Linked DNA regions of Ovis aries. The main gene of each other region encodes a partner of the protein of the gene in region 3 in a complex. Links are inferred from orthologs where the notes say so. Each region holds a gene or a part of one and is shown on either strand. Other genes may lie near its edges.

Region 1 (9,479 bases), on a different chromosome or scaffold from region 3:
GGGCAAGAGGGATGGCTGAGTTGTGATGAACTGTTTGAGGCATGATGGTGGGTGGGTGAATTAAGGATTCACCCAAGGTTTCTGGGCTTTGACAACTACGTACATGGTTGTGTTATTCCCTGAAGAAGTGATTTGTTGGGGAGGAAGCGACAGTCAACTGAATATGAAATATGCTGAATTTAAGATGCTTCTGAGACATCCAGGTGAGAGATGTGGTATTTCTGGAATCAGGAAACCAGTTCTGAATTTCAGCCAGAGTTGGAGCCTAGGCATCATTAACACAGAGAGAGTAATCAGCCCCAAGCTTCTCTCAGCTCTTCCAGGCAGAGGGCCCAAGATGGAACCCTGGGGAATGGAACTTGTTAGGGATGGGATGGGATAGGGGGGTGTCAGAGGAGGAAGGACCAGTTTGTTAAGGGTGTTGGGAGAAAATCAGGGAAGTGTGGTATCACAGGACTCAAGTAACACATGATGTCACACCCAGACACTGCAGTGTTTTCAGCAAAGGCACAACCACATACAAAGAGAATGTGTGAAAACACATTTCATGGAAAAAACAAACCTGTGCACATACAGGCAAAGCCTGGGGAAAAGTCATGCATCCTTGTAGGCACAGAGAGTGTTCTCGTCTTATAAACAACTCTGTGGCCAGGGTGGGCAACAACGGAGCAACGTTCGGTGACAGTCTTCCTCCAAGCCTTTGCACATACTGTTTTTTGTTTAGAATGCCCTATTTTCCTCTCTTCTTTTTCAATCTGCCTCTTTCTCATTCTTCAAGTCCAGCTTAGATTTCATTTCCTAACTGGAAGTCTTCCATGAACTGTAACATCTCATGATTCCCAAAGTGACAGTCTCTTTGTCCCCCCTGCAGGTTCTAAGCAGGCACCAGGACCTCTTGCTTAGTGTACTGGTCAGCATTTGATAAGTATTACATGAGCCAACACATAACTTGACTTCTTCAGCCTTTTCTCAAAACATCTGGTGTGGCCCCAGTTTACAAAATGTCACATTTATCTGCATTTAAGACTTCACCATTTGGTAAACTACCCTGTAACCCTACCTTTGCATCCTCAGCTTCCACCACTCTCGAGTAGCCAGGGTTTTCATATATGACCAGGCCTTTTATCACCTTTATCAGAAACCAGGCAACATCCCAGACTGCTCCCATCTCTCACCATCCAAGTGTCAACCAGACTCCAGGTCCTCCTTGGGTCTGCCTCCTGAACCCAAGTCTCTGTCACCATCCCCAAGGCCCAGCCTGAACCTGGGCTCTCGTCCTCTCTTGACAATCACAGTGACCCTCTGCCTAGCTCTCTGCCTTCTGTTTTTCTCCCTTTCCCTCCTTCCTCTATACCAGTACCCAGTAATCTTCCTGAAATCCAAATCTAATTATCCAATGCCTTCCCACAACTTCCAGGATAAAAATCCAAACTCCACAGGTTGTGGGCCCTTCTGGTCTGGCTCCTGCCTTCTTAGATTCTAAACAGGTTAAGCAATTTTCCATGTACTTCCTTTGTCCCAATCACCCTTTCCGGATTTCCTGGTTTTAAGAAAAAAACATCAGCTCAGATATCATGTCTTACATAGACTCTGACAGACTCTGGTCAGCCCTTACATTCCCATTATGTTGTATTTTTGCTTTATGAGAGCAGTTATTTCACTGGGCAACTAAACTATGAAGCAGACAGTGGCACAAGAAAAAAATCCAGCCCTGGATTCAGACCACACACACACGACCGCTTCCACCAAAGTACTCACTTCCTAGTTCCTGGGTGAGCTCCAGAACTGCCTTTTCCCTTCCACCCAGAGGGAAACTCACATTAGATGGAATTCACTTACGAAAGGTACTCTATGTTTATTTAGAGTCACAAGCAGTTGATTGACTCAGTGTGACTCAGACCACAGACACCATTTCTCCTTCACTCCATTCTGGGTCCTGGGCTTGGCTGGGGCCCAGTGTAGCAGGAGGGTTGCCCGCGGCCCCTTCACAGGTTCACAAGCTTCTCATTGAGGGCAATTTGTGACTGTGTGAGGTTGGCCAGATATGTCACCATCAACAGGTCCTAGAAGAGAAGGAATCCAGGATGAGTGCGGGGCTGGGTAGAGAGTAAGCAGAAAGGCTGGCCAGCTGTGTGATGGACACTGAGGGTAAGGCAGTCCTGGGCAAATGAAAGCTGGGAGAGGCTGACTGAGAGTAGGAGGAAGACAGAAAGGAAACGCCTGAGAACATCGTCCCATCTCTGATACACCCGAGTCATGGGAAGCAAAGAAACGGCAGGAGAATCTCTGAGCACCTGTGCTCTCCTCCTCACAGCCTGGACTGCAAGGGGGCCAAACGTGCTGCCCCACCTCCTCTGTCCTCTCCAGGCCACCTCCTCCACCCCCTTCACACGTGTACGTGCTGAGGTGCAGGCTCCCAGGAGCCCAGGGACGCCACTCACGTTGATATTGCTGTTGAGCATGGTCTCGAAGTCCTCGGGAACTATTTTGGGTACTTGGTTAACCAGACTCATCAAGAAGCGGCCCACGGTATTGTCGGCTGACACCTTCCCAGACTAAGCACCAAAAGAGTCAATGTAGCACGGTTAATTCTTGCCTCTGAGACCGCGGCTTCGCCAGTGCAGCCCCTGCCGCCTCGCAGCGGAGACCCACGCCCTCCTCCTCCCGTCCTCACCAGCACGTCCTCCGCATACTGCAACACTGTGCTGAGGGCGTCCTGGATGCGAGCGGAAGCCCCGCCCACTTGCTGCAAGTCACTGGAGAGGCCGATCACCCGGTTGGGGCTAAAACAGGTCTTCATGATCAGGTCAACTGTGGGAGCAGGCGGGGTGCAAGAGACAAGAGAATTCAGCCATCCCATCAGAAAAGCGAGCTCTAACTACCTCCTTCTGGACTCAGTCAGCTTCCCTGAACTCCCCACCCCCCCCCCCCCCCCACTAGCTTTTCTTCCTCTGAGAGAGTTCAACTCCTGCACCTAGGATGCTAATCACTAGTTTTGGTCTTATATGACTGGCCACGTAGCCTCTGGGGCTGATGATTTCCCACCTCTAACAACTTCTCAAATAATTCCTTGAGTCCCATACAAACCTTAGATCAATGGTTGCTCTTAAGCCACCCAAGGTCCTCCATCCTTGTTATATAGAAATCCCCTCCCTTGAAAAATGTCCAGGACCTAAAAATGGGGAGGTCACTTACCTCCTATGCGTTCAGTGTCGTAGTATGTGTATTTCACTGTTAGAGGGGTGAACATCACCCCCATGGTCCTCCCAGGAACACCCATTAAAGTGCTGCAGAGACAGAAGTCAAGGTTAACAGATGGCTTTGGGGGACAGTTTCCATGTTCGGTCCTGGCTGGGAAAGCAGGCATATCAAGAGTATGGCTTCCAAGGTTCTGAGATGAGAAGGTTGGACCAGATGAAGCCCAGAGGTCTGAAGAGAACAAGCCACTTTCTTCCCTTAGCTCTTTCCACAAACCAAACTCTTGGCCTGAGAGAATGGACTCAGCATTTGGATGGGGCCTGGACCCTTTACAGAGGATTACTGCACACACTGAAATCTCAGTGAAGAGGACAGGACGCTGAATATCCCTGTGGAACTGGGTGCCTAGACATCCTTCCCCACAGAAAGAAGTGACAGGACAGGTCTCTTCTGGGACCAAAAAGCACTCATCAGCACTGAAAAAAAAAATCTATTCTGGTCCATCAAGATTAGACTGGGTGCAATAATTAATCTCAGTAAAGGTGACTGCCTTTACTTAGTCAACTATACACTTTCGTTGGATCTACAGGAGTCTGAAATATTTGGAAAGGCTAAGAAATCAACAAATAGAGTTTAGTAGTATAATAACTGGCCTGTAAGAACTGACATGCACCACCTCTATCCCACCGCATAATGGTTAACGGGTCACTTCAGCGTCAGAGATAGAAACAGCACAAAGTTAAGTGTCGTAAGAGATGCACTAACAAAGGGCATCATTCCAAGGAGAAAATATAATCCTTTCAACTCCTACAGCCGCCGCTTTTTTGGCATGCCACTATAGCCTTTCCCAACATCCCCCATCACCCAGCATTCCAGTTGCTTGCAAGCTCAATGTGCCAACAGAGCAATGTTACTATCATTCGAACTGTACTATATCCAGGATTAATAGACATGTGTAAGATAAGGACAGCCATTCTTCAATCTGTACTGCCCTGTTTTCTATGCACAGTTTTAGGGATTTTGACAAACTTAAGGGCAATTCAAAAAATCAGTGAACGTGGAGAAGAATCCTGGCCAGCATGCCATGTGAGGATCGGCGGTAGGAGCTGTGTATGAGTTAACTTCTGGAAAAGATGACAGGAAAAACGAGCTTGCTCAAATACCTAAAGGGCTGCCCTTGGAAACTGGCTATGAGCAATGAGCAGAAGTCTGGGCAGGCAAGGGTCAGTGAGTGGTAACTTCAGGGACAGTTTCTTTCTGAGTAAAACCTCTCCAGTGATAACTGCCGAGAGTGAGGCAGGGGCTCCCTTAGGAGGCAGCAAGTTGCAGACTGCAGGATGACACTGGCATGGGGTGGAGGCGGGTGTCACACCCAGGCTTAGCAGGAATGAAGGAGCCTTCATGCCCTTGCGGCCCAAGCCCCCGGTCACCTGACGTAGGCCTTGATGCTCATGCGGCCATTCTGGAGGCTGGTGTCCACTGTGAGGTGAATGGGGTTGGGGGCTTCTCGGCTGTAGTACTCATGGATCAGCACTGAGTGCTCCGTGATGTCATGGCCTGTAGCGTACCTGGAAAATGGAAGAGTTGTGGACTCATGTCCACATGTGACATCAATACTAAACAGGATGGTGGCATGGGTGTCTCTGGGCACCTGACACCCTTGCAGTAGTTATACCCCCAGGGACAACATTGAGGAAAAAAAAAAAAAAGCACACTGATAATTTTATTAAATCAATTAAAACAAGGCTGACTTAAAAGCTCATGAAAAACTAAGTCACCAGCAAGGCAAAAACGACTTGCTCAGAAGCTGCAGCTCAAAATGAGTATTCTTGGCCTCACAGGATCAGAACTGCCAGCAAAACACACAGAATTCCTGGCCCCTTGAGATAATACACATTCAATACCCTGTCTCCAAAAGAGGAAGTACGATACCTAGTCAGGTGGCAAAAGGCGCTGGCAATCAACCAGAGACGTTCCACCCCTGTCCCAACTCACCAGCCCAGGATGAGCTCGTTTGGAGAGACTTTCTTGTGCAACTCATACATGTTCTTAGCAAATTCCATGTCAACAGCCACCTAAGAAGAAGGGCAGAAAAGAAGGCTAAGAAGCCACAAGTCCACAGCAAAATGGGTGAACAGGACAAGAGGCCACTCTCAACAAAGAGGAGAGGCCCGGCAAGTATGTCCAAATGGAACAAAGCTCTTCGAACTGCAGTTCTAATTATGAGCATGGCACACTTGGTGTAGGAGGGCCTCACAGAGAGCCTGGCAAATGAATAGTCATAGTCCGTATGGGGGCCTCAAATCCCCACTCACCTCATCTTCTGACTCATTGTGTGGCACTGAAAAGCAATTGGTGACTTCCACTGAGTGCTTGTCAACGGTTCCTGTGAGAGAGAATAGTCCAAGTGTTATAAAATCTTGGGCTTCCAACTGCCCCAAATGCTTTCAAGAGGTCTCCTCAAAGTCAAGGAACAACAACAAAAATCAAGTTTCAGCCATGTGCACCAATGGAAGCTGGGTTTTCCAGAGAAATGAAACTCCACAGTTATCTCCAACTCTCTTCTTTAACAGGGTCTATTCTTCCTTCCCAGGGCCTCCTTTTGCCTCACTTCCTGCTACCCATCCTGCTCCAGATCTTCACTCTAAGATCTTCGTCTTTCAGCCTCTGGACTTTCTTCTTAATATAATTCACCTGCACAGCTGCCTGGAGGATTCTCACTGTGTCTATGAAGACCATTCATGTAGTAGCCCATCCTCAGAGAATACTTTTAGGGAGCTTCCCCTGTACCTCCCTGCAGCCATATGGTCCCAGTCATAACCTTAACCCTACCATCATCCAGAAAACTTCTCCCTGTGAACACTAAACATCACGCCACAAACTTTTCCTAGTTCTGATATTTTTATTCCTGCTACATTGTTTCTTGACCTCACGAAGACTCTCAATCCTTGATTGCTCCTTACCCTAACCTACTAGCCCCTCCTGCTAGCTTCCAGTGCTTTCTTCTCCAACAAACTACAATGTTGCTCCTGACCCATCAGGGTCATTTAATCCCACTTCACTGTGGTTTCTGCCCTCTTGGCTGAAACTATATCCCCAAACCCAATGATACTTTTTCTTTTTAATTGAAGTACAGTTGATTTGCAATGTTACAAGTGTACAGAAAAGTGATTCAGTTATACCTGTATATACACACATATTCTTTTTCGGATTCTTTTCCATTAATACTAAGTATAGTTCCCTATGCTATACAGTAAGTCCTTGTTATTTTACATTTAGCAGTATGCATACTCTGTATCTTATTTGACCTCTTGTCAACAGACTTGACCACTCGAACTTCTGAAATAGTCAAGTCTTCTGTACTTGCATGCCATTATGGCATCCTTCTACTAGAGCATTTATCACATTATACTCCAGTGACTTGCATGTAAGAGTACATCTTCATCTTGAATCTAAGGTTAAGAGTAGCATTCGTTTTATCAGCTTTTGAATTCTAAGTATCTAATAGTTTTATGGCACATAAAAGGTACTAGTGATTTAATTTAACCAAATGGAATATGTCTCATGAATCGCTTTCTAACTTAAAATTTCTAAGGTTCTCAGCAAGTGGAATCTGTGCGTCACTCTTCAGTAAGCACTGCCTCTGTAACATCTAGCATTGTACCACGGTTCCATTCTGGAAGAGGAGCTGAAACCCTAGATGACAGCTGGTCTAACTCCGGTCACTGTAATATTTGGGGGCACCTAATACAAACCTATTTCTGCTTTACTGACTATGCCAAAACCTTTGAGTGTCTGGATCACAATAAATTGTGGAAAATTCTGAAAGAGATGGGAATACCAGACCACCTGACCTGCCTCTTGAGAAACCTACATGCAGGTCAGGAAGCAACAGTTCGAACTGGACATGGAACAGCAGCCTTTTCCAAATAGGAAAAGGAGTACGTCAAGGCTGTATATTGTCACCCTGCTTATTTAACTTCTATGCAGAGTACATCATGAGAAATGCTGGGCTGGAAGAAGCACAAGCTGGAATCACGACTGCCGGGAGAACTATCAATAACCTCAGATATGCAGGTGACACCACCCTCATGGCAGAAAGTGAAGAGGAACTAAAAAGCCTCTTGATGAAAGTGAAGGAGCAGAGTGAAAAAGTTGGCTTAAAGCTCAACATTCAGAAAACGAAGATCATGGCATCCAGTCCCATCACTTCATGGGAAATAGATGGGAAAACAGTGGAAACAGTGTCAGACTTTATTTTTGGGGGCTCCAAAATCACTGTAGATGGTGATTGCAGCCATGAAATTGAAAGATGCTTACTCCTTGGAAGAAAAGTTATGACCAACCTAGATAGTATGTTCAAAAGGAGAGACATTACTTTGCCGACTAAGTTCCATCTAGTCAAGGCTATGGTTTTTCCAGTGGTTATGTATGGATGTGAGAGTTGGACTGTGAAGAAGGCTGAGCGCCAAAGAATTGATGCTTTTGAATTGTGGTGTTGGAGAAGACTCTTGAGAGTCCCTTGGACTGCAAGGAGATCCAACCAGTCCATTCTGAAGGAGATCAGTCCTGGGTGTTCACTGGAAGGACTGATGCTAAAGCTGAACTCCAGTACTTTGGCCACCTCATGCGAAGAGTTGACTCACTGGAAAAGACCCTGATGCTGGGAGGGATTGGGGGCAGGAGGAGAAGGGGACGAACGAGGAAGAGATGGCTGGATGGCATCACCGACTTGATGGGCATGAGACTGAGTAAACTCCGGGATTTGGTGATGGACAGGGAGGCCTGGCGTGCTGCGATTCATGGGGTCGCAAAGAGTCGGACACGACTGAACTGAACTGAATACAAACCTAGGGTGGAGAATTGAGAATTGTTTCTTACCATAGAGTCCATGGGGTCGCAAAGAGTCCGACAGGACTGAGTGACTAACACTTTCACACTTTGGGAGATTATGAGTAGAGGTGAGGGTGGGGGTATGGGATGAAGGACAGAGTGAAAACTTTTCCTGGGAACCTGGAAAATGAGTGGAGCTTAAAGGAAAAAATAAGGGAGAACAAGCAAAGAGAATACAAAGGCTTGGTTTGAGATAGCTATGGCAATGTTCGTAAGATAACGGATCAACTGAAGTTTCCGTGAAATGCTACTCTCTCAAAGATAAGAGAGAGAATGTGTGTGTCAGGAGTGTGCATGATGCGGTGGACGACAGCAACCGACAGCTGCTTCATACCTAGTCTGTGTCAGCACAGTTAGATGTCTTCAGCAAGTCCCTGAAGGAAAGAGACTTCCCTAACTTTTGCAGAAGTCTGGCTACAACTACCGTCCTCTTCTCAATACACCAACTGTCTTCTACAATGGAAACTATTACAAGTTCAAGGGTTAAGAAAGAGAAATCATAAATGGGACTAAACTGGAATCACAAAAGTGCCCCGTATCTGTGATCAAGATGGAGTGAAAAATTAATCTGATGGGACCCGACGTCCCCAGATAAAAGAATACATCGTCAGAAATCCCTTTTTAGGGCTTCTCGGTTTTACTCTAACATAAAGTACCCATTTCTCAAATTTGGAACATGTCAGGGAAAAAAGTTATTTCTCCATGTAATCGTTAATACAAAGAATAGATTTGTATTGTATTAATTGTGTCCAAACGAAGAATCACAGTCTACAGTGGGGGAACGGGGGTCTATATTTCACTGGTGACTAGTATTACAGAGAGCGAGGAAAGGCGGATCAGGCTTAGACGTTTAAGAAAGCAGAATATTGAAATTCAAATGGGTTCCTGCCAAACTGGTTTACTTGCTGCGAGGGATATCTTTCTACAGATGTCCCCACTCCATTGCCAACTAGTTAGAAAAAACTTCTCGGTTAACACTCGGAAAATAAAGACCAGTAGTAGGTAAGGGGGGAAAACTTGGTCACTGGGTTTAAGGAGTCAAAAGGTTTTTGACGTCCCAGTAAGGTTGTGAACACATTTTCCGTCGATTGGGACTAATAACCGTTGAAGTGAAATGCTACTGCAAAGATTAAAAATAAAATGTGAGTCACTTGGCACACGATACTTTTTCAACAAATAACTACAAGGGAGTGAGAAGAAAGGGGGACAAGATAAAACAAGGTGGGCAGTAGAGGAGAACGTCAGTTTCCCCTGACCACTCACCCAGCAGGGTCCCGATAACTCGGGCAGCTCCCTCGTTGCGTCGCTCGTAGCTGTCCACGATGGAGGCCAAAATGACCGGGTGCAGCCGGACCACGCGGCCGCCGGGGAAGGGGCCTGGGAGAGCA
Region 2 (9,362 bases), on a different chromosome or scaffold from region 3:
TTTCTGTTGAAAATATCTGTCTGAAGGCTAGTCCTATCAGGTTTCCTAGAGCACAAAACTGCCTTGTCCAAATTCTCATCCCGAATTCCTCTCATGGTATATGTAGGTCATCAAGTGGCTAATGACTTGATTCTTGTAGAACTGGGTGGGAGGCTATATTCCTTATTTTACAGTCCCTTCCCTTTCAGTCTTAATTTTGACCAAGGTTTGAGAGGTATTCTGTGACTGATATGGCGCATGGTGATAGGAATGCTCATTCTCAGGCCAGGCAAGGAATCATTGATAGGCCATTCAGTGTGTTATTACTGGACTGGGTTCTGTTAGTAGAAGCCAAAAGCCTCTGGACCTCCTGTCTTACTGGTCTGCTATGGTTCAGGTAATGATCCTCTCTATTTCTTCCCATTATCTATAGAGTCAGACTGTTACTGTCACTGACCTTGTAGAACGGTGTTATTTGTTGTGGTCGCCTAGTCATCATTTTTATTGGAGGCTCTGTCACACATCTGGTTGTGTAAGAAACAATATTCTTAAGGACTTCTTTGGTAGTCCAGTGGTTAAGAATCTGCCTTCCAATGCAGGGGACATGGGTTCCATCTCAGGTCGGGGAACTAAGATCCCATATACCATGGGGCAGCCAAGCCTGTGAGCCACAACTACTGAACCTGTGTGCTCAGGAGCCCATGCACCACAACTCGGGAGAAGCCCACAGGCTGCAACAAACAGCTTGTGTGCCACAACTAAGACAACAGCAACTCAAAAAAAAAGTCTTGTAAAATAGGCAGAACGTGTGAAATACAGCTAGCAACATTCTTTCCTAAGGAAGTATTTAAGCTGAGAGCTTTCGTTAGGTGCAGCCCAGTAACTCCCCAGGTCATCTGACTAGTCCTTTCTGCCCTCATCGCTGTCTTTTAAGGGAAATGGCACATTGGCATTGTACATGAAGTTCAACAAAGATGTCTGCATGTACAAAGCACGTGGTGGGTCACTGTGACCCCTTACAGGACCGAAAAATGAATGTTATCTCCTAAGGAGTTCCATGACTGGCACCAGAAGAAAAACTGAACTTTATGGTTGAGCAGGTTATTTCTGCCATTGAGGACTTGTGGTTAATGCATAACACGGAAGCACAATGCACACTAGAGGGGAGGGAAGAGGTTTTAACCTTTCTTGTCTTGCCTTAAAATAGAAATTTTTACCTTATCATTGGTAATACTGTAAACAAAGGGGCCTATGACAGAGCAGTGTAGACACCCAAGCCCAAATCCACTGCTCATGCCCAGCAACTGTGGCTGAAGTGGAGGCAATATAGAGGGTGACTGGGTGACCCTGCACCCCACTCAAGGGAACTGGGTGGCCGGGGCTGGCATTCCTGAGGTGAACTGTGAATCCTGAATGAGATTTACCTGCACGGAATACAGTGCACCCATGAATAAAGGAAGAACCTCAGGAGCTGTTAAGTAGTCCTGTGAGATGGGGCTGAGGGTTCCAGTGGGAAGGCAGCCACGGTGAGTTTGGAAAAACACTGGTTTCCCAGCTTTTCATCACTGAAACTTCTCTAGAGAGTCTTTCTTGAGCTCTCAGACCTAAGTACACCCTTAGGAATGCCATTTATTTTTTTCCTAGCCTGTTATTAGCCTCAGAGAAAAGCTCCTGTTAGAGCAGAAATGAATCTTAATCATTATAGCGACCTCAGGGCTTCCATCAGTATCTGACATACAGCAGGCCCTTAGTAATTTGTTGAATAAACACTAAAAGCAGACAAAAGCACCTAACCAAAAATGAAGCTAGGGAGGTCAACTTCTTAGTAGTTATGATGATCATGAGAATGGGTGTGGACAAATAATTAAGTACTTCAAACTGCTGGTCTTATCTTGTACTGGGAAATTAGGACTGATAAGGTATGGCAGGGCCTTCAGACTAGGCTGAGCCTGGACTGTAGAATGCTACCGGTTTTGAGGCAGGGCTATTTACAGCCATCAACTTGGGGGAAGTGGAGGACAGATGAAAGACATGAAGCAGGTGGAGGTTGCTGTTAAGACGTGTTTGGGCCACTTGTTCCAGATAATCCTGCTAGGTTGCATGCTGGGTCTGCAGGAGGCAGCTTGGGGAGTACCAGCCTGACCTTGAAACCCCACACTTGTCACACTATAATGTGAATTTTCTAATGCTCCACCTACACCGAAAACTCCCCAAGAAGCACACCTTAATACGGTTTTCCTAGTAACTTGGACAATAAAGTCCGATACATTTTTGCTTGCTTTCTGAGGCTTAATTATTTTGACCAAAATCGTTAAATTTAGGACTGCTACCCAAAAGTGGAGCCAGTCTTATCTGTACAATGGCATCACTTCCACCAGCATCACAGTTCTGTGTCAGGATGAGATATTTGTTCATGACACAGTGCTTTGAGGGTGCCGGCTTGAGAGCACATCACCAGCCCAAGCCAAGTGAAAGTGAAAGTTGCTCAGTTGTGTCTGACTCTTTGCGACCCCATGGACTACACAGTCTGTGGAATTCTTTAGGCCAGAATACTGGAGTGGGTAGCCTTTCCCTTCTCCAGAGGATCTTCCCAACCCAGGGATCAAACCCAGGTCTCTCACACCGCAGGCAGATTCTTTACCAGCTGAGCCACAAGGGAAGCCCAAGAATACTGGAGTGGGTAGCCTATCTCTTCTCCAGGGGATCTTCCTGACCCAAGAATTGAACTGGGGTCTCCTGCATTGCAGGTGGATTCTTTACCAACTGAGCTATCAGGGAAGTTTATACAAACCATTACAATCAACAGCCTATGGAACATCCCTCAGGACATTCTGAAGCGGTCTCCTTCACAGCAGCGACCTCACCTCAAGCTTCAAAGACTGCCCTGCTTCATCATTACTGTGATGTGTGTGTCTCAGGGCAGCAGCTGGGTCTGGCATGTAGCCAGCTTGTGCTTGTGAAATGGACTTCCTATGGGGACCTCACAATGGATCTCACTCCCTGGCAAAGGATAATTTCAAGGGGTTCCAAGAACAAAACACCCCAGGGCATTCACCTTCTAGCAGGAATGTAAAACCACTAATGCTGAGAACAAAGGCGGGAACCCAGATTATGAACTCCAGAGAGACTCTGCTGTGTCTCACCCTCCCTCTCTGAAAGGCTACTAGGAGAAGGAAGAAGGGCTATCGGTCATAATGTAGGCACAGATGAAGGTAAGGGACTAAATAGAGTTTATTTCAATAGCCCAGCTTCAGAGAGCAAGAGTCAGACACACATCCCACCAGGTATTCAGGGTCCTCCAGGCTCGATGCAGTCGCAGACACCAGTTCCGCGTCACCATCTGGTTCAGGCTTCTTCCTCTGAAACATACAAAGGTTGTATCAAATTGGTGAATTGCTTATGATTTCCAACACTTTCACTCAGATGTGAAACCATTCAGATCCTCAGAGGACTAACAGGTATTTCCTTTAGTCACCAACTGGTGAAGCAGGTGAGAGAACGATTTAAGGCCTAACATGAACCTGGAGCATCATTCCTTCTTGGGGCCACTGGCTAGTATCAGGGACTTCTAGCACATTCCTCTAGACGTTTCTTTCCTGCCCTAACTCTCCTCGCCAACCCCGTCAAGTGCTCGAAAGGCTCTGGAAGTGGCTCCTGGAACTAGACTGAATGCCATACCAAGTGAAGCCTCAGGGAATTCCTGGAGTTTTCCACTGAGGTTAGAGGACTGGTTGGTTAGAGGCCCCAACCAGCCCACAGGTCACGCCAGAATCCTGAGGGAGGCTTGCCACACACCTTCTTCTTCCTCTTCCTCCTCCTCCTCCTCCTCGTCGTCCTCATCGGAGCTGAAGGTGCCGTCGGGCAGGCTGTAGACACGGATGACCTGCTTGTTGGGGTCCTTGAGGATGAGGTACTTGCCCTCCTCCAGCTTCATGCAGATGTCGATGACGCAGCGCAGGATGCCCCAGGCATTCTCCACGCTCAGGTTGATCTGACTGGCGAACTCGTTGGGCTTGAACTGCTGGGTACCCAGGATGACGTGGCGTGAGGAGTCTTTCACGTGGTACCGGGACACATAACTGCCGGGGGGAGGAGTGTTAGGGTGGGGCCCGCCGGCACAGACCATGTGGCACTGGGACACATAACTGGGGGGAGGTGGGTGGCAGTGTTACGGTGGGGCCTGGCTGGCACAGATCGTGTGGCACTGGGACACGTTAACTACTGGGGGGAGGAGTGTTAGGGTGGGGCCTGCCGGAACAAAGACATAGCTGTGCCTGGGGTTGAGTTACTAGTTAAATGGTGGCCTCGTGCTTGTCCCAAGAAAAGGGAGAAAAAGGCAGCCTTGGTCTCCTAACGCGAAGACCCCTCCTTTCCGAAGATGAGCTCATGGCTCCTGGGCAGGAATCTCACCCAAGCTTGAGGTACTCGGATCCGGCCAGCAAAGCACAGCAGGTCCAGCGGGCCAACTTGTAGCTGTTGTTTTTCAGCTCGGTGGCAATGACAGCCCCTCGCTGAGAATCAAGCTTCTGTCGCCAGTCAACGCCGTTACAGTGCTGTGGGAGGAGGGCCCTGGTTATAGGCGCCAAGGCACCATGCTGCCTGTGGACTGATGGCCCCTCTGGTAGAGAAGAAGGTCCCTAGTGGGCTTAACCAGGGAGGGGAAAGCCCACAGGTAGAGCAGAAGACATCATTTAAGGGGTAGGGCCTCCGTCCCTCCTTTGCACAGCCTGCCACATAGCTGGTGCTCAACAAACTTAACTCCTCTCTTCACAAGGTCTTAATCAGACCAGGACATATATTCACACGTTAGAAACAAGTGCCATACAAGTGTTTATCACATGTGGTTTGGAGAGGAAGAGTTTCACAGGGGAGTGTGACAGCTCACCCGTGGGGAATACTGGCAGAAGCTGGAGCTGGGAGGGCTGAGAGGGACAAGGAAGAGATGGACTGCTTTAGTGCGGAAGCCCGCAGAGGGAGGGGAGGTCAGGTAGGTTTGACCTGATGGAGAGGGAGTTAGGGAGGTCAGTTAAGAGACAAATGCAAAATATCAGGCGTCATGAGAAGGCTCCTGAACTAGGGTGATGTCAGTGAAACCTAGGGCTGGGCAAGTAGACAGACTGAGCCTGACAGCAGAATTCAAGGGTGCAGCGGAGGAGGAGGAGACGTTTGAGGCTCTGAGCCTAAGCGAGCAGGAGAAATGACACCAGTGGACAGTCAAGCCAGAGGGAATGACAAAGGAAGACACTGAAAGGACAAAGTATTTTAGAAAAAAACCACCACCAAAAAATTCCAAAACAAAAACAACAATGATGGAACAGGAGTCAGAAGAGATTTCAGGAATCATTTCTGGAGTTCAAGGATGAGGCTTGGGGTTAGGCTTAATTCTAAGATGGTCCCTGGTGGCCCTGCTCTTGCTGCATCTGCTATCCTGGAGTCTGGGGGAACCCTGAGTATAACTACCCAGGATCACGCTACCTCATGTCTATAAAGAGATTCTGCAGATGGAATCAAGGTCTCTTAAGATAGGGAGACCACCTGAGTGGACCACGCACAGTATAAAGAAGTGACTGCGGCAAAAGAGTTGCATAAGGGACCGACCCTAAGAGAAGGCGCCACTGGGGGATTAAAAAGGAGGGGAAACAGCAAAGGAAACGTGAAGGCAGCTGAGAAACGTGCAGGACCAGACTATGGCAGTAGCAGAGGGCACAGTCACACAGAACGATGTTCCTGGGAGGCTGTGGTCAAAGTCTAAGAAAAGGCCACTGGTTCAGAGCTAGGTTCGCAGCAAACCTTCCAGGGTGCTCTCAGCAGGTGACAGAAACTAAAGAACACATGAGGAGTGAAACCTGGTGCCTGGAATGCTAATGCCTTGGCTCTAACGCAGGCACAGCACAATGGGCCCTGACCTCCATCTCACTGGACCCTCGTTAACACAGGCCTGTCCTTGCTGTCCTAACCAAGACCCTTTTATTCTATACACCAGTGACTAGGAGCATGGCCACACATTTTAAATTCAGGTGTGTAGGCCAGGTACTTTCAGAAAGGATGATAGCCCCATCCTGGCACACCAGCCTGGGAGAACGAAAAGAGAAGGAAAAATGAAGGATGCGTATTTCTTTCAAGATGCCCCTCCTGAAAAGCCAGATCTGGGATAATCTGAGAATCTGAGTTCAGTAAGAGACGAAGTTGAAAAAAGGGTGCCACAAGGTTGAAAACCAGGTAGGGGCTGCCATAAGTAAATAACAGGTCAGGAGAGCTGCCCGACTTACAGGAGAGCTGCCAGCCCAGCTCATAAGGAGAGACTTGCAGAGGGCAGAAGCCAACAGGAGATCGGAATGGACAGACAGAAAACACCGAGGAAAGGTAATCACCCGCACACACGATCTCTTCCTCAAAGCGGAACTAAGTAGGGGGAAAACTCAGAAGACAGAAAACCTCTGTAAATGAGGCAAGGGGAAGAGACACAGGCTGCAGGCGCCAGCCCGGGACATGGTGTCCCGTGTGCCTCACCCTGGAGTCCCACTCGTTGAGGGTCTTGATGTTGATGAAGGACACCTCCCCGTTGGCTCCAGTCATGACACCGTCGTGCTCACAGCGGACGATGAGGTCGATGTCGTCCCCGAGCTTCCACCGGCGGTAACTGCAAGGAAGAGCGAGTGCCTCTGGTCACCTGAGGCCCTGGGTCCAGATGCACCACCCACACAGGGTGGGGACACCAGGGAGGAGACATACCGGTACGCCACAGAGGCGATCTCATTCTTATCCATGTCGTCCTCCACAAATGGGTTGGGGTTGGGGAAGTTGTATCTTTCCTTCCCCTGTAAAAATGACACAGGTGTTGTGAGACAGTGCCAACCCGTTGCCAAGGCAATCAGCCATAACCTGCACCTCTCCTTTGTCACAGCCCACCCCCCCCCCCGGGTCCCTAGAGCTTGAGGGGGCTCTGGGCACACTGCCGAGGCCAAGTGAGCACCCCGTGGGTCACAACAGAGGTACCGCTCGAGTTCACCCTATGCTCAAGTTTGTGAAACACGAGCTTCTAGTCTCTTATTTAACTAGCAACAGCACCCCCTCCTGTTATGTTTTCCTCCAAGGTACACACAATCATTTGTCACAGCATGTATGTATCCTGAGCTTACCATCTTTCCTCCATTGTGTGTTAGTCGCTCAGTCGTGTCTGACTCTTTGCGACCCCGTGAACTGCAGCCTGTCAGGCTCCTCTATCCATGGGATTCTTCAGGGAAGAGAGTGGACTGTTGTTCCCTTCTCCAGAGGATCTTCCCGACCCAGGGATCCCACCCAGGTCTCCTGCACTGCAGGCAGATTCTTTACCACCTGAGCCACAGGGAAGATCTTTCCTCCTCCATTATGATGAAGGTTTCTAAGGGCAGGCACTTTGGCTGGCTGGTTGCTGTATGCCCAGCTCCTAAGCAATGCACCTGTATCTGTGCACAAGGGTGTCCTGGTCATATATTTCAAGGAATCTTCACAATGTATCTATATGAGACAAGTATTATTCAAGTATTCTAACTTTACAGAGGGGATTCCCTGGTGGCTCGGGGGTAAAGAATCTGTCTGTAGTGCGGGAGATGTGGGTTCCATCCCTGGATCGGGAAGATCCCTGGGAGAAGGAAATGGCAACCCACTCCAGTATTCTTGCCTGGGAAATCCCAAGGACAGAGGAGCCTGGTAGGCTGTAGTGCATGTGGTCTTAAAAGAATCAGACACAACTTTGCAACTAAACAATTTCAGAGAAGAAACATGACTGGCACCACAAAGCTAAAAGGGGTGAATCTAGGGCTCAAAGTCAGGCCTTCTGACCTCAGAGCCCAAGCAGAGATCTCTTCTGTGACAAGCAGGGACCCCGCTCTGTCTTGTCTAATCCCACAACCCAGAGCTGACGACCCAGTACGTGCTCAGTAGACAGCAACTGGGGTCGATGAACTGAACGCGCTCAGGACCTTACCATCCTCAAGCACTGCTGGGAGAAGTTGTGGTTGATGTAGGTTGCCTCCATGGCCAGGTTGCGGGGCGAGTTGAAGGAGTTACCCTCATCTTGAGGGGGCTCGTTGGCTGTCTCACTCACTGTCAGAAGGTCTGCAAAACCGGCAGCACGGTCACCCACCCGTGAAACAGTCACCAAAGAGGGGTAGGGCCCCTTAGGGAGATGCGGTGATTCAAATGACACAGGCCCTTCCTCCAAGGACCGCCAGCTGCGGCCCTGGGTCTCCTGAGCGGGGGTGGGTGGGGCGGGTTCTGGATAGCCTGAGATGCTAACGTTGAATTCTGTCACAACCACATCTGTTTTTGAGTGACCTGGTTTTCATTCAATGTGTGTGTGTACATACCTGTGTGTATGGTACATGTGCATTTTCCCTTCATGAATATGCTGAAATAAAAAAGGCATCAATCCAAAGAAAAGTGTCAAGTGCATGCTGAAGGTGGTACGGAGAGATGACAGAAGTCAGGAAGACGCTATTCGAGTGAGTGGGAACACGGCGTTGGGGTGCCACGAGGACTCAGAAGGCTGGGGCCCTGGCAGGGGTACTGCAGTGACAGCCCCTTCCTCTATCTCTGAGGAGGCTGAGGGGCATTCTGACATGGCTGTTGGTGTTCGTGGGGAGACAGGACACCTTCTACCCATTCTCTGTGCCTGGGAATGGCTTTGGACCAACAAGGACACTCAGAGCCTCTGTGTTGTTCCTAGACAGGCTTCTTACCAAAGTCAGAGTTGTCCCTCTTGTCAAAAAAGAGCTTGGACCCGACCCTCTGGACGACGATGTCCCAGGAATACACAGAGCGGGTGCAGCTCATCAGTGTGGCCAGAATGGCGTCGGTGGCAAACACGTTGCCCTGAGTCTTCGCCAGCTGCAAGGAGGACAGCAGAGAGATGGGGCTACTTTGGGGCTCACCTGCCCATTCACAGGAGGCAAAGGACTTGTCTGTAAGGAGCCCCACACCCATACCTACACCTCTGGTTGTCTAAGCCAGGCTGTAGCAAGCCAGCCAGCAAGCTTGTATCCTGGATCCAAGGAATTACAGTTTCCCGACCACCTGCCACACCCCAACACATACGGTCTGGTCAGCAGAGTGCCTTCATTTTCACCTAATCCTAAATCGAGTCACATCGAGTCTTATCTACAGGGGCATCTGAGGCCCGGTCGGTTCATACACCCCTCCACCCCCTCGCCGCATCTCTGCTCTGAGGCCTCAGTGGCGGTATTACAGCGCTCCCCTCAGGTGGGCATGGGGCAGGGGTGCCCACCTTCCGGATGACGGGGTCGTCTGTGGTGGTGACGGTGTGGAAGATACGCTTGATGCTCCGAAGCGGCTTCTCACTCCGCGTGGTGATGCGGTCAAAGGCCTTGTCGTAGTACTCCAGG
Region 3 (10,800 bases):
CATGGGGCACAGTGCGGCTGCAGACCCGGAAGCAGGCCATGCGAGCCTCAGCCAGCAACATCTCAGGTGAGGAGCCAGCGAGACCGGGCTAGTGAAACCAGGCACGTCCAGGGCCTTGGGGGTGGAGGTGGCCGGCTCCTAGACGGTGGTGGGGAGATGGGTAAAGAGTCACTGCTGGACCCACTTCCTCCCAGACCAGAGGGCTGGGATAGGAAGGCAGAAGTGAAAGTGGAGGAGCCATCTGAGTCATGGACGGGATATGTGCACAGAGCTAATGGCCCGCCTGCTGGACCAGCCAGGAGTCCAGGCCATTCCTAAGAAAGCTGAGGCTGAGTAGGGTGTATGAAGGATAGGTTACAGAGCTCAGCTCCCCTACACTGCCGTATCCCAAGTGCTGGCATGCGGAGGCCAGGAGCAGGGCACTTCTACCCTCGGGAGGGAAAGTTCTGGGGATTTTCTTTACAGTGGTCACATGGATGGGGATAGAGCTGTGGAGGAAAAGTAAGCACGGTAGGGGACCACGGGGAGCAGTCGCCAGGTTAGGTCCCCTTAGGACCCGAGACCAGGAGGAGGAGAGGGGGACTGCCTCCAGGGAAGCCTGGTGCATCAGCCAGTGCAAAGGCCCTGAGGTAGGTTTTGCCTTAAAGAACAGCCAGGACACCATGGTTGGTGAGAGCCACAAATGAGTGGGTGGTGGGGGAGCGGTAGCTCCCTCAGGGCACTGTGGGAAGAGATGAGTACTGTTTTTTCTTCCAGGTAGGTAGGGAGAGAGTCTGGGAGTGTATGGCTGTGACCTGACTCAGGTGCCCTTTGGAGGCTGTGAGGACAGATGGATGATGAGGGTGGGAGCAGGGACAGCGAGGTGGACCAGACTCCTGATCCAGGTAGATGGTGACACTTGGGGGTACAGACTGACATGTGGGACTTAGAGTTGTAGAGGGGGGTGGGGGTGGGGGGCTCTTGCTTCACCCCAGGCCCGGGTGGCGCTGGTGGTCGATGCCAGGTTATGTGCCTCCCTGGTTCTTGCCCCAGGACACAGCCTAATGGACCCTGGGCTTCTAACCTTCCTTGGTCTCTGAGTCCCTCTGTACAAACGTGCTGTGGCTGGCACCCCCCATCCTGGGTGTGCAAAAGCACTCTGGAAACATGCCCACAAGGGGCTCCTGGGACACAATAGGTAAGGGTGCCACAGCGGGAGCCACAGTGAGGGGCAGGGTTGATGTGCCAAACCCTCTGCTCACAGGTGCCATGCAGTGCCCAGTCAACTTCTCGGAGGCTGCAGATCGCCTCCTCAGTGGCCTCCAAGAGGGCTTTCTGTGGCCCATGCTGGTAGCCGAGTTCCTGGTGGCCTTGGCCTGCAACAGCCTGGCCCTGTACCGGTTCTGCAGCCGGGAGCAGCGCCCTTGGCCCCCAGCTGTGATCTTCTCGGCCCAGCTGGCGGTCAGCGACCTGCTCTACGCCCTGACGCTGCCCCCCCTTGCTGCCTACTTCTACCCGCCCAAGCACTGGCGCTACGGCGAGGCTGCCTGCCGCCTCGAGCGCTTCCTCTTCACCTGCAACCTGCTGGGTAGCGTCATCTTCATCACCTGCATCAGCCTCAACCGCTACATGGGCATCGTCCACCCCTTCTTCACCCACAGCCAACTGCGGCCCAAGCACGCCTGGGCTGTCAGCGCCGCTGGCTGGGCGCTGGCGGTCCTGCTCGCTGCCCCCACGCTCAGCTTCTCTCACCTGAGCAGGTCCCAGCGCCAAGGCCAGTGCTCTGTGACCAGCCCAGGGGCCTGTACCAAGTGCCTGGGGACAGCGGGTGACAGCCAGCTTGAGGCCTACCGGGTCTACAGCCTGGCGCTGGCGGCCCTGGGCTGCGGCCTGCCGCTGCTGCTCACCCTGGCAGCCTATGGCGCCCTGGGGCGGGCCGTGCAGCACAGCCACGGCATGACAGCAGCCAACAAGCTGCAGGTGATGGTGCTGGTGGCCAGCGGCGTGGCCCTCTATGCCAGTTCCTACGTGCCCTACTATATCACGGCAGTGCTCAACGTGTACGCCCGGCTGCGCTGGCAAGCCCTCTGCCCAGGTTTTGCGAGTGAGGCCGCGGCTGAGAAGGCACTGGACCAAAGGACATACTTGGCCCACCAGGTGACACGGGGCCTTGTACCCCTAGCCATCTGCATCCACCCGCTACTCTACATGGCTGTGGTGCCCAGCCTGGACTGCTGCCGCCAACGCTGCGGGCAGGGACAGACCCCAAAGGACACTCCGTGCTCCAGCCAAGCCCTGCCCCTCAACGTCACAGCAACCCCCCAAACCTCAGAGCTCCAGTCCCCCGAGCTGAGCCCGTGACCTGGCCCATCTTCAGCCCCCTCCTCATCACAAGATGCTGGAACCCAGCAGCAGAATGGAGGCAGAGGGCAGGCCCCCAGGAGCCACTTCCTCCCCACAGAAAGGCTGCCAAAGCTGCAGGAGCTTCCACTCACAGCACTAACCCTGGGCAGGGCCACAGAGCAAACCCAAGATGGGGGGGGTGGGGGGTGGAGGGTTGGCCCCGGCTCTAGCCCCACCCACAACAGTGTGATTGACATCAGGGAATAAATGGTCCGGCACAAGGCTAGAGACTAGAGACTTTTTATTGCCCTGAAGCCCTCTGCTCCAGGAGGCTGCCTTCTGTCACTGAAGGTTCCCGGGGCCAGGGGCTGAGCAGCAACAGCAGCAGCTGGCTTAATTGGTTGATGGCCTAGAAAGGGAAGCAGGAGGTGGGTGAGGATGGCAAGTGAGGGGGCTCTAGACCCTTTAGGGAGTCCCAGGACCACCACCCATCTTACATACACAACACGAACTCAACGGGGAGGAAGGGGGACACGGCACGGAGCACACCTGGGGCCAGACAGGCCTAGGGGTGTGGGGCCCTCCATGAGAAGCAAAGACCCACACCCCGGGACATCCCTGGTGAGGCCCACAGTCAGCCCAAGCATCAGCTACAATGCCATGAGGGGCGGCGGAGGGCAGAGGTCTTACTTGGCCCACTCGACGTTGAGGATGAGGTGGTCGTAGCCAAAGCCGGATACCCCGGCAATGGCACGCGCAGCGTCCTCGCGGCGGTGGAAGCTGATGAAGGCAAAGCCCTGGGGGAGGGAGTGGGGGTCAGGGACAATGCTCAGGGCACCGCTGGGAGTCAGGACCCCGCCCCGCCCCCACGGCCACTGGCCCACCTTGGACTGGCCAGTGGTCTTGTCCTTTGCCAGGTAGATGCGGGAGATGGAGCCAAAGGGCCGGAAGAGCTCCTGCAGGTCAGTCTCACGAGTGTCCTCAGACAGGTTGGTGACACGGATGGTGGCATTGTCATCAGCTGGGCAGGCAAGGAGAGGCGTCGCTGAGGGGCCGGCCCCACCCACAGGATAATCACAGGGTACAAGGGGTGCCCGCCCGCGCACCAGCCCAGCACTGGGGTGCCCCCCCCCCCCGCCTCACCTCTGCGGTTGGGCTGCATGGACTCCCCGCGGCGGCTGGCCCCGTCGCGCAGGCTAGGAGGCACGTACTTCCCAGTCTTGTTTTGAGTGGCCTGCACAGGCTCCAGCTCTGGGGACCAAAAGCAAGGTTAGGTCCAGCTTCCCCTGGCACAGGCCTGGCCCAGGACGCTAGCCGCTCCGGCCATGATCCAGCCCCAAGCACCCTCCCTCTCAAACCACAGGCCATCTGGGGGATCTCTTCAAGGGCTAAAGGTCTTAAAAGGACTAAAAGGACTTAAAGGTCACACCCAGGCTGATCCACCCACATGTCCGGCCTGCCAGCAGCACAGGAAAAGCGAGAGAACCCACAGTGAGAAAACGCCCAGCCTCACACACACACCAGGACGGTGCACAGGGTAGCAACAGCCCCCAGGGTCCCATCCCGGGGACAGGTGACAAGTGGCTGTGCACACGAGTCACAAGTATAGAACTCCAGTGTATGTGTGTGTGTCTGTGTGTGTGCATGCATACGTGTGCAAACACAGCAAGCTCCTGTCAGGACAGACACACTGAGAGAACAGCCATCTTCCCTCACTACGCGCAATGTCCTTACACCTGCAGCCGTGCTCACTACAGGCTCTCACCAGCCCCAACAGGAAGAGACAGGTGACGTCACCAGCAGAGCACCCACCTGCAGCCTTTCACATAAACCAACGTGGGCTGTGGCCACAGCCTTACTGCCGTGTGGGAGGTGATAACCACCAACACTGCTGGTCCTGTCCAGACCCCAGGTGAGGACCCACGACTCCCAGAGATGCACGCAATTCCTGTGTTCCACTCCCACTCCTCCCCCCAACCCCCAAGCCTGCCAGCAATATCCCAAGGTCCTGGCACCTCCGGGGAGCTTCTCCTTCTCGCCAGTGGACAGGCCCAGCTGTTCGGCCAGCTCCTTCTGCATGGGCCCCAACGTGTCCTTGTAGGGGCAGCGGGTGGTCCAGTGGTCACCCTTGCAGATTCGGCAGGACACTATCTTCTGGCCCTTGAGCTTGTTCATTGGGTCCTCCTCTTCCTGGCAGTTCAGATCCTGGCAGGGCAGGTGGTGGCAGTTCAGACGGTAGTTCAGCTGCTCCCCTGCTGCCTCCAGTAACACCCTGGCCACTGGCTCCCCCTGCCAGCCACCACACTTACCTCTTTGCTGGTGATGAATGTCATGGATACATCATCGCTGACTGTGGTGGTGGCTACGTTGGGCCCCGGTGGGTCAAATTCTGAGTTCCCAAACTTCTTCCAGTTCTGAGCTCAAGGCAGGATGGGGGACAGGTCAGGGCAAGGACAAGTGGGACCCCCTCCATTTGCACCCTAGACTTAACAAGAGCCACCTTGAGGGTGAGTGAGTCTTGAACCCTATTCACCGCCCTCAAATGCTCCTTGGAGAAGCGATGATGACAGTTGCTATTCCCTGAGGGCATGCCAGGCCCCAGCTCCATGCCAGCTCCAAGAGTAGGGGCAGCTCTCAGCCTCATGTTACAGATGAGAAAACTGAGGCTCAGGGGTAAACAGGTCCAGAGCCAACAACCCCTGGCAGGGGCTGACCAGCTTCCACCGAGTGATACTCAGGGGTGTGCAGGATCACCCAGATTTCCAGGGGCCTTGAGCTCCTTAAACAACCTGTACCTTGGCATCCTCCCCTATAAGGGACCACAATGCTCCCCACACCTCCCTGGAATGCTAGGGGAATGAATGAGAAAATACTTCCCACGAAGCACCTGAGTCTAACACCGAGTATGTAGGTAACTGTGCAAAACGTATTTACTGCCATCACTTCTGCTGCTACGACCACCTCACAGGAGGGCTTTGGCTCTGTTCCTCCCAGGCGACAAGCCGAGAGAAGTAAGAACCAACCCCTCCGCTCCCACTCCTGCACCTGCTGGACTTTTCAGGGCCCCCACGGACTGCACACAGGCCTCAGTTCTGCTCCAACAGAAGAGGTACACCCAGGGGACTTCCCCGGTGGCCCAGTGGTTAAGACTCCGCACTCTCAATGCACAAGGTGTGGTTTCAAGCCTTGCTCGGGGAACTAAGATCCCACATGCTGTGTGGTGCAACCAAACAATTAGAAAGAAACAAAAAAGCATCAGTCTCTCAATCATGTCTAACTTTTTGCGACCCTATGGACTATAGCCCACCAGGCTCCTCTGTCCATGGAATTCTCCAGGCAAGAACACTGGAGTGGGTAATCATCCCCTTCTCCAGGGTACCGTCCTGACCCAGGGATGAACCAGCATCTCCTGCATTGCAGGAAGATTCTTTACCACTGAGCCACCAGGGAAGCCACCAGGAAATTGTTTAACAAACAGTTAAACCCCACTTCTAAAAATGAAGGCAATAGGGAAAAGAACTCCTATTTTTTCTTTGAGTCAGCCCTGGAGGAGCCCCCAAGGAAGGGGGAGAAGGGTCTTACCTTCCTCCTTGCCACAGCCTTTGAGGCCTTCCGGGTCTCAATTCTGAAGGTGCGGACGATCTGTGGATAGGAGGGGAAACGTTTGGGCCTTCTGCTCCTCAAGGTTCCTAGCAGATCTTCCTCATCAAGACATCCAACACACCACTCTCTCCCTAGTCCAAGTGCCCCTCAAGCAAAGGGCTCCCACCTCTTCCCCAGCCTCACCTTGAACTTCTTGCCATCCTCATCTATCTTATACTCCGTCACTGTTTTGATGTTTCCATTGATGACCTCCTTGGGAGGTGGCAGTGGAGCTGGGAGAGAGGAAGAGACAAAGGAACTGAGCCCTGGGTAATAGGGACCAGAAGGAAGGAGGCTGGGGAGAGAGACGGCCCAGGGCTGGAGTGAAGTCGGGCACTCACCTCCCGGCAATAGCTCAGGCTCTGGACTGGTATCCCCAGTGGCCAGGGGGATCCCCTTGAGGAGCTCGCTGGTGACACATTTGTCTGTGACAGGGAGTGGAGGGAGCAGGGGTCAGCTGGGGGGTAGGGGTGGGCAGCGACAGGAACTCCCAAGCTGAAATCAAGGGACCTTTGGGATGATGCCTGCACCAGGAGCTGAGAAAGGTGGGACCAAGGGCAGAGGACTGGCCAGGAAGTGTCTTGGGATAGCCATTCAGGGACACGGAGCTGGCCGGTAGTAACTTCCAGCAATGAGAAGGGGAAGGGGATCCTTGGCCTGAGGGCCTGAGGGCCTGAGGGCCTGAGGGAAGGGGAGGGCCACAGGCATCCGGGCAATAGTATTAATACAAAGGCAGGAGTGTGGCTGTTAAACAATTTCCTGCCAGGAGCAGGGAAGCAGAAGTGCTGGCATCAAGGACTTGGGCGGTGGCACGGCAGAAGATGGGCTGGCTGGTGAACGTATGGAGTTGGAGATAGGCTGGCCCAGATGAGAGTGGCGCGGGGCAGGGGCTGGCTGTGAGGGGAGATGCAGGGTCTGACGGCGGTGCCAGGGTGGAGGATCAGAGCAGGCAGCAGTGACGGCCTGGGGCGGCGGGGGGAGGCCGGGCTGCGGTGATCCGAGGCGACAAGGTAGACTCACCGTCCTCTCCTTCCTCTTCCACCTGGTCCGCCCAACTGGGCTTCGAACTGCGGGGACAAGTTTGTCAAAAGGAGGGATGAGTGAGGCGAGGCCCAGCTCCCGCGGCCTCAACGCACCCAGGCTCTATATTAACTCCTAGGACCGCCCCCCATCCCCGGTCTGCTTACCAAACCCCCTCCACGACCCCTGACTCACTCAAAGTCTCCGGTCGGCATCGCAAAATCTCCACGCAGCCCAAGCCTGGGCCAAAGACCGGAAGTAAGAGGTGAAAGAGACTTCCGGCTCCGCTGCCTAGAGCAGCCGTAGCACTCCACAGCGCCCCCTACGGACGGAGGTAGAAGCGCCGCCTATGTGAGAGGCTGGGCCCTGGTATCTTACTATTAGAGGCTCGGCTCATTTACCTGAAAATCTTATTTATTTATTTATTTATTTGGCTGCGCTGGGTCTTAGTTGCGGCATGTAGGATCTAGTTCCTGGACCAGGAGGGCCTGCATTGGGATCACTGAATCTTAACCACCGGACCTTTTCTTTTACTTTTTTTAAAAATTAAAAATAATGACAATAAAGCTCAATTATATAGCTCTGACTGTTTGCAGGAACTGTGAGGAGGAAATTATCGTTTCCATTTTTCAGCTGAAGAAACCAAAACTGGTCTTCCTTGCCTGGAAATAACTTTTCTGATTCAAATGATCAAGATATCAAGTCACCCCCTAACTATTCTCCCTCCTTGAGTAACTCCCCCCCCCGCACTGTGAGGCTTGCAGAATCTTAATTCCCTAACCAGGTATCAGAACTGGGCGCTGCAGTGGAAGTGCAGAGTCTTAACCACTGGACCACCGGGGAATTCCTAGTAACATTCTTGGCTCCCTGATATAATCTTTTCCATTTTCTTTAATTTATTGCTTATTGTCCAGCGTTCCCTCTACTGTATGCATTCTCAGTGGGAGTGATATGACTCCCAAGGGGACCAAAATTAATTGTTCTGTGGCAAAAAAGAAACAAACAAAAAAAAAACCAACTTGGAGATGACAATGACTTGTGGCCTCCAAAGCCAACCCTCCCAGACAAAATCTTATTTCTAAACATTTAATTTCTATTGTTAGGGAGAAATTAAATGTAATTAGATTAACACTGATTTAAATGGAAGATAATTCCATTTTTCTCCTTTAGAGGGATGATAATGAAAAAAATGGTAAAAACTGCTGCAGACTTCTGCAGAAACACATTTGCCTGCTTTGTTCACTTCTGGGTCCCCAGCACCCTCAGGGTGTCTACACTTGATAAGTGCTCAATTCATGGGTATTTGGAACCGACAGGAACCAGATTATAAAGGACTTTAAAAACTAGACTAAAGATCATAGTCTCTTATATATATATTACATATATATACATGTATATATATATAACATATATAACATTTTTAAAAATATTTATTTTTATTTATTTGGCTGCATAGAGTCTTAGTTGTGGCACGTGGGAACTAGTTCCCTGACCAAGGATCAAACCCAGCCACCCTGTATCTTGAGCACAGAGTTTTAGCCACTGGACCACCAGGGAATTCCCAGCACAGGCTCTTTATCCTGCAGGCTGTGGGGTGTGAGTGAGGCGCTGACATGTTCTGAATGGTGACCCAATGTGACCAGATTTTCTTGTGAGAAAGATTATTCTGGAAGCCTGTAGAGGATAGGGTGGAAAGGAATAAATCAGCAGACCAGGAAGGAGGCTGGGAAAATAAGTAAATAAAGAGGGTGGTTGGGAATTCCTGGTGGTCCAGAGGGCACCAGAGGATGAGATGGTTAGATAGCATCACTGACTCAGTAGACATGAATCTGAGCAAACTCTGAGAGATAGTGCAGGACAGGGAAGCTTGGCATGCCGCAGTCCATGGGGTTACAAAGAGTCGGACAAGACAGTAGCAATCAGTGGTTAGGACTTCAAACTTCTATTGTAGGGGTCATGGGTTCAGTTCCTGGCCAGGAAACTAGGACTGCAAGCTGTGAGGCACTGCCAAAAAAAAAAAAAGAAAAGAAAAGAAAGAGGGCAGTCTGGCAACAGATGAAACTATTATAAAGTTTGTACAAAGAATCAATAAACATTTGTGCAAACTCACTCAAGTTTACTTCAAGAAATGCAAAATCCAAACACTGAATGTTGCAGTTGGGCAAAACTGTAAAAATTCGATATTACTCAATGGTAGCAAAGATACAGAGAAAAAGACACTCCCGTACTTTGTTAGTGAGATTATGCAAACTCTTCAGATGGCATATTGATGATATCTACTAAAGCTTAAATACACTTACATGTCTTCCTTTGAGCCAGTTGACAATTCAACCTGTGAGAAAAACCTGGGAATGTATGTAAAGATGTGAGAACAAGCTATGCGAGCAGTACTGTTCATGATAGCAAAAACTGGAAATTCCTATCTGCCCATTAACAGCAGCTGGTTAAATAGATTAAGACGTGTTATGCTTGCTGGGACTTCCCTGGTGGTCCAGTGGCTAAGATGCAGAGCTCCTGATTCAGGGGGCCTGGGTTTGATCCCTGGTCAGGGAAGATCTGGCATGCTGCAACTAAGACCTGGTGTAGCCAAATAAATAAATATTAAAAGAAAAAAAGGCATGCTATGCTGTAATCTATTAAATGCTATTCAGTCCTTAAGGAAGTAGATCTACTTGAGGTCATGTTAAAAATACATCTAAGAAAAGGAGATGAAGCAAGGTATAAAATGGCATATGCTATAGGAACCAATTTTTGTACATCTTTAATAATAGTAGATAGATATGTAGATACATTCAAGCTATTTTAGGATCAGAATTATCAAACTGTTGCTGAGAGAATGCTTTGAGAGGAAGCCATCAGGAAAGAGCAGCTTATTTCTAAACTTCTGTTTTACTTAAAATTTTTACCATCTGATTTTTTTTGGTTTAAATATAAACATATACATAAACTATAGTTATATTTTTTGTATTAATATATAGCATACATCCTATGTTATGTATGCAAGATATAATGTATGTATATATATTTTAATATATTTTTTAAATCTCTTCTCTTTTTGTGTTTACTTACTTGGCTGCACCGTGTCTTAGTCGCATGTGGGATCTTTAGTTGCACCATGTGGGGTCTAGTTGCCTGACCAGGGATTGAACTGGGCCCCTTCCCCCACCCCCTGCATTGGTAACTTGAAGTCTTGGTCATGGACCACCAGGAAAGTCCTTTTAACATGTTTTTCATACTCACAAATTTGCATGTCCTCTTCTAGAAGGGACCTAAGGAAATATACATCCAAGTGCACTAAACTGGCTATAAGAAGGCGTCCAGTGCAATGTGGTTTAAAGGGCTGGAACTGAAAACAGCACAACGGTCATGACTAAGGGATTAGCTAAATATTGCCCAACGAGCTTCACCCCTGTTAGAGAAAACTGGGCCCATTTCTGGCTACCCAAAAGGACCTTAACCACTAAACACTGATGCTTCTGGGTGTTTCGACTTGGCCTCATCTTTACAGGCATACTTTGTTTCATTGCACTTTATAGATTTCCTACCAGTTGAAGGTTTATGGGAACCCTGCATGGTCAGATGATGTTTATTTAGCATTTTTAGCAGTAAAGTATTATTAAATTAAAAGTTTTTTTTTTTCCTAGACATAATACTATTGTGCCCTTTAAATAGACTACATAGGGCTTCCCAGGTGGCGCTTGTGGTAAAGAATCCAACTGCCAATGCAGGAGATGTAAGAGATGTGGGTTTGATCCCTGAGTCGGGAGGATTCCCTGGAGAAGAAAACGGCAACCCATTCCAGTATTCTTGCCTGTA

Evidence for each region.
Region 1: EIF3G (region 3) and EIF3F share a complex: the UniProt entries of both Homo sapiens proteins name them as parts of the eukaryotic translation initiation factor 3 (eIF-3) complex. The link is inferred for Ovis aries from reciprocal best matches to the Homo sapiens genes EIF3G and EIF3F.
Region 2: EIF3G (region 3) and EIF3D share a complex: the UniProt entries of both Homo sapiens proteins name them as parts of the eukaryotic translation initiation factor 3 (eIF-3) complex. The link is inferred for Ovis aries from reciprocal best matches to the Homo sapiens genes EIF3G and EIF3D.

Annotation. Positions count from the first base shown.
Region 1 is NC_056068.1:44,238,865-44,248,343, forward strand, and holds the end of EIF3F (eukaryotic translation initiation factor 3 subunit F), read right to left. Parts: coding exon 9,355-9,479; intron 5,585-9,354; coding exon 5,514-5,584; intron 5,274-5,513; coding exon 5,194-5,273; intron 4,767-5,193; coding exon 4,629-4,766; intron 3,288-4,628; coding exon 3,196-3,287; intron 2,812-3,195; coding exon 2,675-2,811; intron 2,556-2,674; coding exon 2,064-2,555; coding exon of another isoform or gene 1,986-2,063; 3' UTR 1,831-1,985; downstream 1-1,830. UniProt on the Homo sapiens protein: Component of the eukaryotic translation initiation factor 3 (eIF-3) complex, which is required for several steps in the initiation of protein synthesis.
Region 2 is NC_056056.1:180,567,236-180,576,597, forward strand, and holds the end of EIF3D (eukaryotic translation initiation factor 3 subunit D), read right to left. Parts: coding exon 9,245-9,362; intron 8,848-9,244; coding exon 8,700-8,847; intron 8,077-8,699; coding exon 7,946-8,076; intron 6,798-7,945; coding exon 6,712-6,797; intron 6,620-6,711; coding exon 6,490-6,619; intron 4,533-6,489; coding exon 4,390-4,532; intron 4,125-4,389; coding exon 3,775-4,124; coding exon of another isoform or gene 3,740-3,774; exon of another isoform or gene 3,339-3,739; coding exon 3,325-3,338; 3' UTR 3,193-3,324; downstream 1-3,192. UniProt on the Homo sapiens protein: mRNA cap-binding component of the eukaryotic translation initiation factor 3 (eIF-3) complex, a complex required for several steps in the initiation of protein synthesis of a specialized repertoire of mRNAs.
Region 3 is NC_056058.1:12,523,195-12,533,994, forward strand, and holds EIF3G (eukaryotic translation initiation factor 3 subunit G), read right to left. Parts: upstream 7,250-10,800; 5' UTR 7,200-7,249; coding exon 7,180-7,199; intron 7,032-7,179; coding exon 6,985-7,031; intron 6,390-6,984; coding exon 6,306-6,389; intron 6,198-6,305; coding exon 6,109-6,197; intron 5,965-6,108; coding exon 5,905-5,964; intron 4,737-5,904; coding exon 4,632-4,736; intron 4,528-4,631; coding exon 4,338-4,527; intron 3,574-4,337; coding exon 3,466-3,573; intron 3,344-3,465; coding exon 3,207-3,343; intron 3,120-3,206; coding exon 3,013-3,119; intron 2,732-3,012; coding exon 2,716-2,731; 3' UTR 2,607-2,715; downstream 1-2,606. Other genes in the region: P2RY11 (P2Y purinoceptor 11), read left to right, coding at 1-66, 1,244-2,340. UniProt on the Homo sapiens protein: RNA-binding component of the eukaryotic translation initiation factor 3 (eIF-3) complex, which is required for several steps in the initiation of protein synthesis.